2 linked regions of the Oryzias latipes genome follow. The protein of the gene in region 2 purifies or fractionates together with the protein of the main gene of each other region. This does not show direct contact. Links are inferred from orthologs where the notes say so. Each region holds a gene or a part of one and is shown on either strand. Other genes may lie near its edges.

What was found.
Region 1: the proteins of vars (region 2) and eef1b2 fractionate together in Homo sapiens (co-fractionation; 3 studies listed by BioGRID, with this or other methods). This does not show direct contact. The link is inferred for Oryzias latipes from reciprocal best matches to the Homo sapiens genes VARS1 and EEF1B2.

Annotation. Positions count from the first base shown.
Region 1 is NC_019860.2:25,081,718-25,087,963, forward strand, and holds eef1b2 (elongation factor 1-beta), read right to left. Parts: upstream 3,407-6,246; 5' UTR 3,283-3,406; coding exon 3,203-3,282; intron 2,540-3,202; coding exon 2,417-2,539; intron 2,341-2,416; coding exon 2,211-2,340; intron 2,145-2,210; coding exon 2,078-2,144; intron 1,909-2,077; coding exon 1,783-1,908; intron 1,607-1,782; coding exon 1,539-1,606; intron 1,474-1,538; coding exon 1,387-1,473; 3' UTR 1,361-1,386; downstream 1-1,360. Other genes in the region: ADP-ribosylation factor-like protein 11, read left to right, coding at 4,294-4,326, 5,122-5,187, 5,256-5,371. UniProt on the Homo sapiens protein: Catalytic subunit of the guanine nucleotide exchange factor (GEF) (eEF1B subcomplex) of the eukaryotic elongation factor 1 complex (eEF1).
Region 2 is NC_019874.2:20,778,136-20,783,880, reverse strand, and holds part of vars (valine--tRNA ligase), read right to left. Parts: intron 5,670-5,745; coding exon 5,511-5,669; intron 4,898-5,510; coding exon 4,807-4,897; intron 4,698-4,806; coding exon 4,592-4,697; intron 4,451-4,591; coding exon 4,380-4,450; intron 1-4,379. UniProt on the Homo sapiens protein: Catalyzes the attachment of valine to tRNA(Val).

The DNA of each region.
Region 1 (6,246 bases), on a different chromosome or scaffold from region 2:
GTGACGGTTTGGGCTTTCTAGAACACTGTTACAGGCGTGATCAGGCGGTTCTAGCACAGGACCGTGTTACACTCTGACCCTGAATCACTCGGATCCAGTTCCTCCGTGAATGAATTAGAAGTTCACTTAGTTTCAGGAACACAGACAGAGCTTTCAGAGGCTCCCACTGTCAATTCTTCATGTTTTTGGGGAGCTTCGTGGTAATCTGCTCATTTCTGCAGAAATCCTCATCCGTCCATAAATCTGCCTTAGTCGACCCGGTGTGGACGCCTGTGGACGCCACAGACTGCATCCTGTGACCCGTCAGTCTGAATGTGGTCCCACAGTGATGACATCATCACTGTAAGACATTCTATGCAGATTCTGAATTCAAGTCATTTTAGGGTCCAGAAACCCACTGATGCACTCATTTCTACTCCTCAGCCTGCTGAACTCTGCTGAATGATCTAGAACGTGCAGACGGAACTCTGCTGGTTCTCCTTGGAGCTCAGACCTGCTCATAACCCGTCCCAAACACCTGGAGAACGTCTGACTTGTCTACAGCGCGTCAGAACACTTCCATCGTTTCAGAGAACTAGGCCATGACGGAACCATGGAGAACATCTGACGGAGCGGTGGAGAACCTGAACCTGGGCCGGGCTGACACAGGAAAGTTTGCCTTTGTTCTCCTGAACTTCTGGTCCGGGTTCCGCTGTTGCAGTAAAGCGGAGCTCCCTGACAGATCGGTTGATCTCAGCATCAGAACCACCAAGATCTCAGAACGTTCATCCAGGGTTCAGAGAACCTCCTATGAAACAGCTGGATGGACCTCAGGACAGACCAACGTTCTCTGCTGGAACCAGAAGCGGGTGGTTCTCTCAACACCTGGGCTAACTGGACTGACGTTTGACGGCCACCTTCTGAGTCCTGTTGTGACGTCACTACAGATGTGGCTCGCTCGCAGACAGGTAAGATCTTGCGCGCCAAATGGGTTGAACTCCGCTCACAGGCCCCACCCTCACCTGGACTACGTTCTAGGCGCGTGAACCTTAATACACAAACCCACACGGCGCTTGGATCACGCATTAGTCACATGGTTAGCTTGTATTTAACCGCTAGCCTTTGATCGCTGGTTCCGACTGAACACACCTGTGCGCGTGGAGCGACGTTCGGTCCAGATTGTGGATCGCTTGAGGACCTCTAGCGCGGGTTAATCCTCCTGTTTGGTCCGTGTCGGCGCGCGCTTGTTTAGTTCCGGTCGTCTTCTTCTGCACTCAACTGTTGGAGCTGCACTGCCGCCTACAGGCCGCGGAGGGAACTGCAAGCTTTTTCATGAACAACTGTTATCACATCAGTTCTAATGAGACCAAAGAAAGCAGCCGACAGTTTGATGATTTTATTAACATGTCAGATCTTGTTGAATGCTGCCACGTCCATGGACTGAACGTAATCCTCAAAGGCTGTGATCTGCTCCTCCAGGATGTCCGTTCCCACCTGAAAGGACAGAACGCCGTTAGAACCTGAGGGGGGGGAGCCAGGAGGAACAGGAAGGAACCCACCTTATCGTCTTCCACCACACAGCTGATCTGCAGCTTCTTGATGCCGTAACCCACCGGGACCAGTTTGGCTGCAGAACCAGAAACAAAACTCTTAAGGTTCTGTCGATGCAGCGATTGTGGTCTGAACTAAGGGTTCTGCAGGGTCAGGGTTCTGAGTGTGCATCAGACTTCAGTCGAAAGATGGTGAGTAAATCATCATCTCTGCAGATCCGTGACTCTGATCAACGACCCATCGGTTCCTTACACTGTCCCCACACCAGCCCGTCCATCTGGATGCTGCGCACGCACTCCTCCAGCTTCGCCATGTCCGTCTCGTCGTCCCACGGCTTCACGTCCAACAAGATGGAGGACTTGGCGATGAGGGCGGGTTCTAGCAGAAAGGGAGGCTTCAGTGGGGCAAACAGAGCGCTACGTCTGACCGTAAGCAACGACCGTCAGGTGAAAACAGGTGTCCATCAGGCGCTCAGCCGAAAGATGGTGACTGGATCATCATCATCATCATCAGAGAACTGCTGCAGACTGAGCATGTGCAGACTTACTCTTGGCTTTTTTAGCGGCGTACTCGGCCAGACGCTGCTCCTTCAGCTTAGCGGCCTCCGTGTCCTCCTGCCGGACCACAATCACACAGGTGAGATGGAAGCGATGAAGACCTGGCTAAGACTGCAGCCTCACCTCTTCATCAGAGCCAAACAGGTCAATGTCATCATCATCTTCATCCTTGCTGGCAGCAGGGCCACTGGAGGTGGTGTCCGCTACACCCGTGGGGCCGTACTGACCCAGAGGCTTTTTCACACCTGGAAGACTGAAGGCCGGAGGTCAGCGTTGGAGGTCAGCTTTGGTCTCCGGACCCTCGCCTCGTACCACCACGTCCGCCTCACCTGTTCTTCTGGGCCTGGTAGGACTTGATGTGGTTGTACCACCGCAGGGCGTGGCACAGGTCAGCAGGGGGTGGAGCCGAGACGGCCTCGAACACGGCTACGTCCGCTTGAGAGGGGACATACCTGGAGACAGACCGTTGGTTACCGTGGGTCTAAACACACCTGATCCCCGCACAGGGGCAGGTCCAGACCGCCTGAGACCCGGAGAACATCTACAAGTGGAAGACGGGATCTCCTCCATCCAGCAGACGGGTTTAGGATCCCCACCTCCACAGAACTCCAGACACAGCAGCTCAGGACTGGACCTGGACCGGGTCAGACAAAGCAGCTCAGGACTGGACCTGGACCACAAAAGAACTTTGGTTCTTGGGTGTGGATTTAAGTCTACGGGACCCGCATCAACATGTGTCCAAAAGGTTCGTATCAGGAACCGGGAGGACCAGCTGCAGACCAAAGAAGCAACAAAGTCTGGGTTCTGAAGACCACGGAACCAGTGACAAACTACAAGGTTCTGTGCCCGGGTAACGGTCAGATCACCCACAATGCACCGCGCGCACCATGTAAGAGAACCAGCCATGTGACCCGCGGCACGAGCCAGCAGGAATTCTCCAGAACCCTGGCGGAACCAAAGACTTTGGCTGGCGCGTTTCTGCCGGTCAAAGCACCGAACCGATCCCGGGCCGTCCCGCGTGTTCTCGGTCTTTCTGCGCGGGTGTTTAGCGCCAAATGCTAAGCTAGCAGCTAGCATGGGTAGCCGGGCGGACCCAACATGGCGGCTCCGCTCACCCCTCGATGAAGCTCCGGTCCGTCAGGAAGTCGTTCAGAACTTTGAGCCCAGACGAAGACTTCAGGTCCCCGAACCCCATGACGAAGATGAGCTGCTTCTACCGCGACCAAGAGGAGAAAGAGGAGGGAGGGAGGACGGGAAACGCATTTATGCCGGAGCTCTGACTCCTCCTCAAGACTCCTCCTCCTTGGAGGAGGAAGAGGAGGAGGAGGAGGGGCAAGGTCTGCACCAGAACATACAGGTTCTAACTGTTCTAACTGGTCTCAAAGTTCCACTCCAACCCTCATCCGATGTGTTCTCAAACTCAAAGCGTCTTTAAATCCAAACCCCCTGTGGTTCTCTAGGACCTAGTGTCTGCAGAGCGGCAGGAGTTCATCAGACATTCTCCTCTGAGTTGTGGGCGGGCCGCTGGCGTGGAGCTGAGAGCTCTCTGTTTACATGCTTGCAGGTCTCTCAGCTGGTCCTGGCTGGTTTCGTTCTGTGTTCTGCAGTGGAACCCTGCAGGAACGTGGAGTCCCTCTAAGGCCCCCCCCCCCCCCCCCGGTGGAACAGCTGCTTTGGTGTTTTCAACACGTAGAATTTTCTCCTGATGGAGGACAAATGGAAAGAATACATGAATTTCTGAGGGTTCCTTTATCCAAATGAAGCAGCAGATGAAAAAACGCTGTTTCATATTTGTGATGCTGAACATATCCTGGGCGGGGCCACAAGCTTCATGCCCCGCCCCTTTCTCCCCTGCAGACCAACAGATCCATGAACGTTTTTGTTTTCCTGGAATCTGGATAAGAACCGGCCGGATGGATGGGTGGGATGCTGCTACCATTTTTAATGGTGTTAGATTGGGGCTGTAAGCTAGTGGATCTGGATCAGGTGGAACTGGAGGAACCCGGACATGTCTGAGAACTGATCTGCAGGGAAATCATCTCCTTTGCATTCCATCAGAACGGACAGGTTAGAGTTAAACAAACAACAGTAAAAGCAGTCAGACCTGAATGTCATGTGACCCGCCTGTCCTCATTCCCTGCTCCCATTGGCTTTCAGCATGAATGACCTTTACACACCTGAGTGAGTCGGTTTCATACGAGCAGACATGGGTCAGGCAGGATCGTCTTCCTGTCCTCAGGTGAGTCCATCTTCTGTCCTAAAGCTTCTGCACTGCTCAGGTGTCTTAAGGGAAATGTCCATTTGAGAGGGGCGTGGCCTATGCCATGTTTTCCTGTCATAGACTGTGAAGAGGTACATTACACGGTCTGTAGTTGTTTAGCCTGTGAGGAGGTAGAAATGCTCAGCCCGTCAGTATGTTTATAGAACAGAAGGGGGGTGTCTTGTTGACATCTCCGTCTGCAGACCGGGAGACGTTCTCTGATACCTACTGATAAAGAACAGATGGACGTTCTAGGTGTGGTTCTTCAGTGAGGTTTGTGGCTGAGGTCTTTCAGTTCCACCCAGGAACCCAGTTTGTCCTTCGGGCTTCTTTCATTACACATAGCAGGTTGATGTTGGACCAAGGAGGAACTTAACCTGTGTGGATGCTACAGACCACGTCACACGCACACACACATGCACGCACATATTCACATGCACACACACTGCCCTCTCATGTAAATGAAGTCCAGATCTTCCGGACTAGCAGCAATGCAAATGTGTCCTCTGTAGAGGACTTGTCCTCCGTTTGGCAGGACAACATTGTTTTTGGTAGTCGGGGGATCTGCCTCCTCTTCTGGACAAACATCTCTGAGCCTTCAGCGTACACTCCTCTTCCTCCTCTTGGTCTTAGAAGTCTTTTGGATTCTCTAAGGCAGTGCCTGGTATGGTCCTGCTTTGGGACATTCTGTCAGGGTTTTTTCAGAACCAGAACTCTGGGTTGTGGAGCTGTGAGTGTGTCCATTCCAGCGGTAACAGGTGTGCGTCGTTGCAGGTGATTCTCATGGGTTTGGACTCTTCAGGGAAGTCTACTCTGCTGGCCAGACTGCTAACAGGAAAGGTGAGTCTCCTGCAGTGTGAATGCCACGATGCTGGGGTTTTTGGCTGAGTGTGGCTGGTGATCTTCAGGTGGTGACCACGTCTCCAACCGTCGGCTTCAACGTTGGAACGCTGAACCTGGATAAGAAGACATCTCTGACACTCTGGGATGTTGGGGGGCAGAAGAACATGAGGCCCAACTGGAGGTACAGGGGCAAACACCAACAGGTGGTGCATGAAGGCAACACCACCCTTACCCAATGTGACTCCTGGAGCACACTGGGTTTGTATGAAATGATTGATTGATTGATTTCAAGCATTCATTGTATACAGTAGAAGAAATAATCCCACAGATTTATCAAACTCATTACAGAAATGATGAACTGATTGAATAAAATCAATCAAAAACAGACAGATGTTTGCGGGACACCACTACTGACCTCCTTGACCACTGATGTAAATTCATCAATCTTGACGAAGTGTTTTCTTCCTGTTAAATAACTTTAGCGCTAGTCCTCATGTCCCATTCACTTCCAGTTGGTCAGGTTGGATGTTGACAGTCAAGCTTCATATTTTTGTCACATACACTGCGACTCCTCCACCTTTATTGTTTTCTCTGTTCACATAGTTAAGTTCTTAGTTTTCTAATTCAAAGTCAGCGTCCTTGTCGCGGCTGAACCAGGTCTCAGATCTGGCTCTGATATCAAAGGAATGTTCCATGTTCTGATGTCTTCAAAGTTGGTCTACATGTTTCTGCTGTTAAAGAGAATGATTGACAGTTTTTCTTCTGGGTTAACAGAGTTTTTAAAGTCATCCATGCTGCAATATCTGCAGTTCATGTTAACAGTGGAAAAGAACTGATCAGGGTGGATGTCTTGAAGGTTGTTGTCATTATTACTGAATATTTTAAGGTGGGTCTGCTCACCATTCAGATCTCTGAGAGTTGTGGTGACTGTTGAAGAAAAAGTGTAGTTTCTTTTAGAAGCCATGGATAGTAGAGGTCATCGACCAGCATCTTCACGTATCTCTTGTTTACACTGCAGTGGGTAAAGACTTCTCCAGCTCCTCCAGGTTCCTGAAA
Region 2 (5,745 bases):
AAAAGAAGCCTACGATCATTATAAGATTTGTAAGCAGAAAGCACAAAGTGGAAATCCTTAAGGAGGCAAAGAAACTGAAGGGCACTGGAGTTTATTTAAATGAGCACCTGACCAAGAAAAACTCAGAAATTGCTTGGACATGTCGTATCCTGAAAAAGCAACATAAAATACAAGCCACCTGGACCAGGAATGGAAAAGTGTTCATAAAACTGAATGGATCACCAGAGCAAGCTAAAGTGGTAGCAGTGAGACAACTGAAAGATCTGGATCAGTACAAATGAAAAACTCTAAAGTTCTATTTTGTTTAGACTCTACTGACAGAATCAGACTGTGGACTATTCTGTAGAGAGAAGGACTTTATTTTCAGCACAAATGACTGACTCAGTGGTGAGTGAAAACACTTCTAAGTTTGATTATACAGAGCATGGACTTTATGATTTTGATAATGATGTGGATCCAGAGACTCATGTGTGTTAATAAGTTCAAGGATACCTGCAGATATTACTGCGAGGAACAACTCGGTGAAGTTAAAACTGAGGGAAAACTTTCTGTTATTCATTTCAATTGTAGAAGTCTACCAAGAAATTTTGATAAAATTAAATCTTTTTTGGACACATTTAAAGGAAAATTTAAAGTAATTGCTCTGTCAGAGACATGGATAATTAAAGGGAAGGAAAATAATTTGAAAGTTGAAGGTTATGATTTGTATTTCAATAGCAGAACAAATAGGATTGGAGGGGGAGTTGCCCTTTATATTGACAACGGTTTAAAATGGAAACCGGTAAAATGCATGACATCTACTATAGATGATTTAATGGAAAGTGTTGCTGTGGAAATAGAGTTACAAAAAAACAAAAATATGACTGTTGGATGTGTATATAGGAAACCAGGATCAAAAATTGAAACTTTTAAGGAAAATTTAGAAGATATGTTAAGTAATCTAAATCACCATAAACAATTAATAATTTGTGGAGACTTCAATATAGATCTCATAAAGCTAGATTCACATTTACAAACATCTGATTTTTTCGATTCATTATATAGTAAAGGATTGTATCCTTTGATTACAAAGCCTAGCAGAATAACAACAAGTAGTGCAACTTTAATAGACAACATTTTTACCAATATTTTGGAAACTCAAAGAAATTGTGGGTTAGTAATTAATGACATAAGCGATCACTTGCCTGTATTTGCTATATTTGACTTCAGGTTGCAAAAAAAGTCAGCAGAAATCCACCAAATATACAAAAGAATAAGGAATGATGAAACTCTGAACGCTTTCAGAAATGATCTCATAAATCAAGACTGGAATGAAATTTATACAAATGATGTAAACGGTGCATATGAGGCTTTTCTGAAATGTTATTTAGATCTTTACAATAGACACTGTCCAGAAGTTCTAAGTAGACCTAAATTTAAAAATAACAGAAAACCCTGGATAACAAAGGGCCTACAGAATGCTTGTAAAAAGAAAAACAAACCCTATAAGGACTTTTTAAACTTAAGAACAGCAGCAGCTGAAAAACGTTATAAGGTTTACAAAAACAAGTTAACAAATGTATTGAGACAAGCTGAAAAGAAATATTATCATAGGATTCTGTATGAAAATAAACATAACTTAAAGGCTACGTGGAATATTCTGAATAAGGTCATAGGAAATAAGTCAGGATCAATAGAACTACCTCACTTCTTCCTTAAAGACAATGTGGTCATCAAAAAGCAAGAGGACATGGCAAATGAATTCAATTCATTTTTTGTAAATATAGGACCCAATTTAGCAGAAAATATTACATGCAATTTACAATCAAAAGATATTATTGAAAATAAAAATTGGATTTCCCATTCTATGTATTTATCTGATGTGACTGAAAATGACATTTTGACTACAGTATACAAACTAAAAAACAAGACCTCAAAGGACAGGGACGGGATTGACATGAAATTAATAAAAATGACCATAGATTGTGTTGTAAAACCACTACATCATATCTTTAATCTTTCACTTAAATTAGGAATTTTTCCTGAGAAGATGAAAATAGCTAAAGTTATTCCTTTTTTTAAAAATGGAGACAGACATACTTTTAATAATTACAGACCAGTATCATTACTTTCTCAATTTTCTAAAGTTTTAGAAAAGTTGTTTGTTAACAAACTAGACAGCTTTATTGAAAAAAATAAATTGTTAAGTGAGAATCAGTTTGGGTTTCGTTCTAATAGGTCTACAGATTTGGCTATAATGAAAATAGTTGAAGAAATTTCAACAGCAATTGACAAAAAGTAATACACAATAGGAGTTTTCATGGATTTAAAGAAGGCTTTTGACACCATAGATCATTCTATCTTGATTTCTAAATTATATGCATATGGGGTTAGAGGAATCGCCCTGAACTGGATCACCAGTTATTTAAAAAACAGACTACAATATGTACAGTTTGGAGGTAAGAAGTCTGATCTTATGAATATTATTTGTGGACTCCCACAAGGCTCAATTGTAGGACCTAAACTTTTTATTTTATATATAAATGATATCTGTGATATTTCTAAGTTGTTACAGTTTGTTTTATTTGCTGATGATACTAATTTTTTCTGTTCTGGGGATAATCTGAAAACCTTAGCTAAAAGTATTGAAAAGGAAATGATAAAACTCAAAATGTGGTTTGACTACAATAAACTATCTTTGAATCTAACAAAAACAAAGTTTATGGTATTTGGTAATAAAAACAGAACAGAAGTGACTTTGTCCATTGACAACATAAAAATAGAACAGGTGTCTGAATTTAAATTTTTAGGGGTTATGTTGGACGACAAATTAACATGGAAATCTCATATATTTTATGTAAAAAATAAAGTAGCCAAGAGCCTTTTTGTTCTGAACAAATCTAAATATGTTTTACCATGTCATATTATGCACATGTTATATTGCTCTTTGGTTTTACCTTATTTTACATATTGTATTGAAGTGTGGGGAAATACATATGAAACTTATATAATGCCCTTAATTCTACTACAGAAGAGAGCTATTCGAATTATTCACAAAGCTAATTTTAGAGATCACACAAATGAACTTTTTATTAAGTCAGGCTTATTAAAACTTAAACATTTAATTGAATTGCGGACCTTATTAGTTATGTTTAAAACCAGAAACAGAGATTTACCAGAAGACCTACAAAAGCTTTTTATTTTTACCACAGGAGATGAAAATCATAGGAGAAAATTTGATTTCAAACAACAGATTGCTCGAACAACATTAAAGCAAAAGTGTTTGTCTATAGCAGGGGTAAAAATGTGGAATTCCCAGGAGAATCAGTTAAAAAGTTGTCAAAATATTATTAAATTTAAACGCATGTATAAAGCTAAACAAATTAGTTTGTACAAACTTGACTGTTGAATGCAATTTTTGGAATGTATGTATTAAATGAATGGAATGTATTTACTGTGTAGTGGAACTGTACATTGTGAAATCTGAGCACAGGTGATGGTGTGAGAAATGTAAATGTAATGTTTAAAAGGGAGCAGATAATTATAAGAATTGTGTTCTTCAATTCTGCTCCCTTCCAATCATGAAAATATTCAATATGTAAGAGAAACATGTAAACATTTGAACATCAATTTTCATGAAAGGAACAAATAAATAAATGAATGAATGAAAAAATGAATGAATGAACATCAATTGAGTTGAGTGCTGTGATTGAATATGCTTTGTTAAGCTGCATTGGGAGGAGGGCTGAGAAACAGTTATGTATGTATGTGCGGGTGTGTATGTTTTGTGTTGTTTATATAGAGTATTTGTATAATAATTTGTAACTTGAGTTGTTTGTTACTTAACTTTACTTTGTTGGCTTTTCTTTTTTTATAAATATAAAAATGTTGTTATTTTTTTTATAAATATTACATCTCAAAAATGAGAAGTGGCATTTTAAGAGGCCAATAATTCCATTGCTCAAATGTTTAAATAAAGAAATATTCATTTATTTAATAGAACCACTTTCTTTTTTAATAGTTTTTTTTTCATTATACTAAATAATAATTCCACAATAAACCCGAAACTGTGCAAAATAACGATTCTGAGAGGGTTATTTAGTCCTTTTTACTAAAAAAAAATAAAATAAAAACTGTTTTAATGTTTTATAACAAGGATGTGAAGTGTACAGACAAAATACAAATATATCAATCCAACATCAAAGAAAAAACAAGGTCAAAAGATGATTGGCTCACGCTCCACTGTGTGGAGATTACTATGGCTTAAAGTCCACTCATACATTCATAAATGTTAGCTTCAGGGGACAGAATGTCCTCCTATAGAATGGATTTTATTGCTGTTTATTCTCCAAAGGATTGTATCTTCTGGAATAGGTGTGTCTGAAGAGTCTGGGTCTTACCTCATTAGGCCAACCGAAGATGGAGAAAGGAAAAATGCCAGACGAGAACCAAGTGTCCAGAACATCCTCGTCTGTAACACAGGAACCAAAGTTACCCAATCTGAACGTAGAAACCATACAGAGTACCGTAGACTTGTTTTAGCGATGCTCGTCTGTGCTTTGGCAGAAACTGAAGTCATCCAACACCTCACCGCCACACAAGCAAATCCTACCCTGTCTGAGAGTTATTTTGTCCGCAGACACGTTGAAGCGTTTTGCCGCTTTTTCCCTGGCCTCCACCTCGGACCGTCCGCTTACCCAGTAATGGCCGTCCATGTCCTGGAGGACATTCATTAAAGATGTATGGAAAAAGTTATGGCCACTCAAGCAGTGCTTAATCTTTCTAGAACATTGCAGATTTTGAGAGGAGCTGAAGACACCGGCTTGCCTCTCCAGCTTTCACAGAAGGATCGCTGACGGTGACGAAATAGGCGGGAATGCGGTGACCCCACCACAGCTGTCGGGAGATGCACCAGTCTCTGAAAACAAACAGGAATTCAGAGGCCAAAATATCTCATTAGCAACAAACCCCCAAAAATGTGCTTCAAGAAAACGAGGCAGCATGTTCACACAGGATCAACTGGTCCACATCAAGACTTAAAGACCCCCTTTGATGAAAATTGTGTTTTTGGTGTTTTTAACATGTTCTGGTTGCATTTTTCTGATTATGATGGAGGACATATATGAAGGAAATTATTTATGAGTATTTCTTTTTTCAAATTGCTGCAAATCAAGAGCAGACAAAAGAAATGCTGTTTAAAGAAAGAGCGCCTTTGTGACATAGGAAATATGCTGGGGAGGCCACAAGCTCCTGCTCCATAACAAGGAGGAGAAAGGGGGCGGGACTGCTCCACGCCAACGGTCCTGCCCACAATTTAAAGGCAACTGCAGAAACTACGCCCTAGGAAACGACACGGGTTTTTTGATTTTGCCAAAAAAATGTTGGCATAATCATGATTAAAGGACCACTGGGAACGCTCTGAAGATAGATCAAAAGATGACTGAAGTAGGACTTTAAATCCATTAAATTGGACTTCATATGAGCAGGAAATTAGAAAAAACTGTTTATTTAAAAGCTTAACATTGACAGACCTGATGTTGTCCATCCAGTTGAACCAGGTCTTGAGGTGGTGATCAGGGATGATTTTGAGCCTTCCCTCTCTGACGGCGTCCGCAGCCTCCCTGCCCATGTCTCTGCAGCTCACGTACCACTGCGGCTTCAGCAGAGGCTCCACGATGTCTTTAGAGCGACTAACAGAGGAAGGAAGGAGAATTTTAGAAAGTCACCTCAAATACAAAAAAATCCCAAGATCTGTGTTCCGCTTAA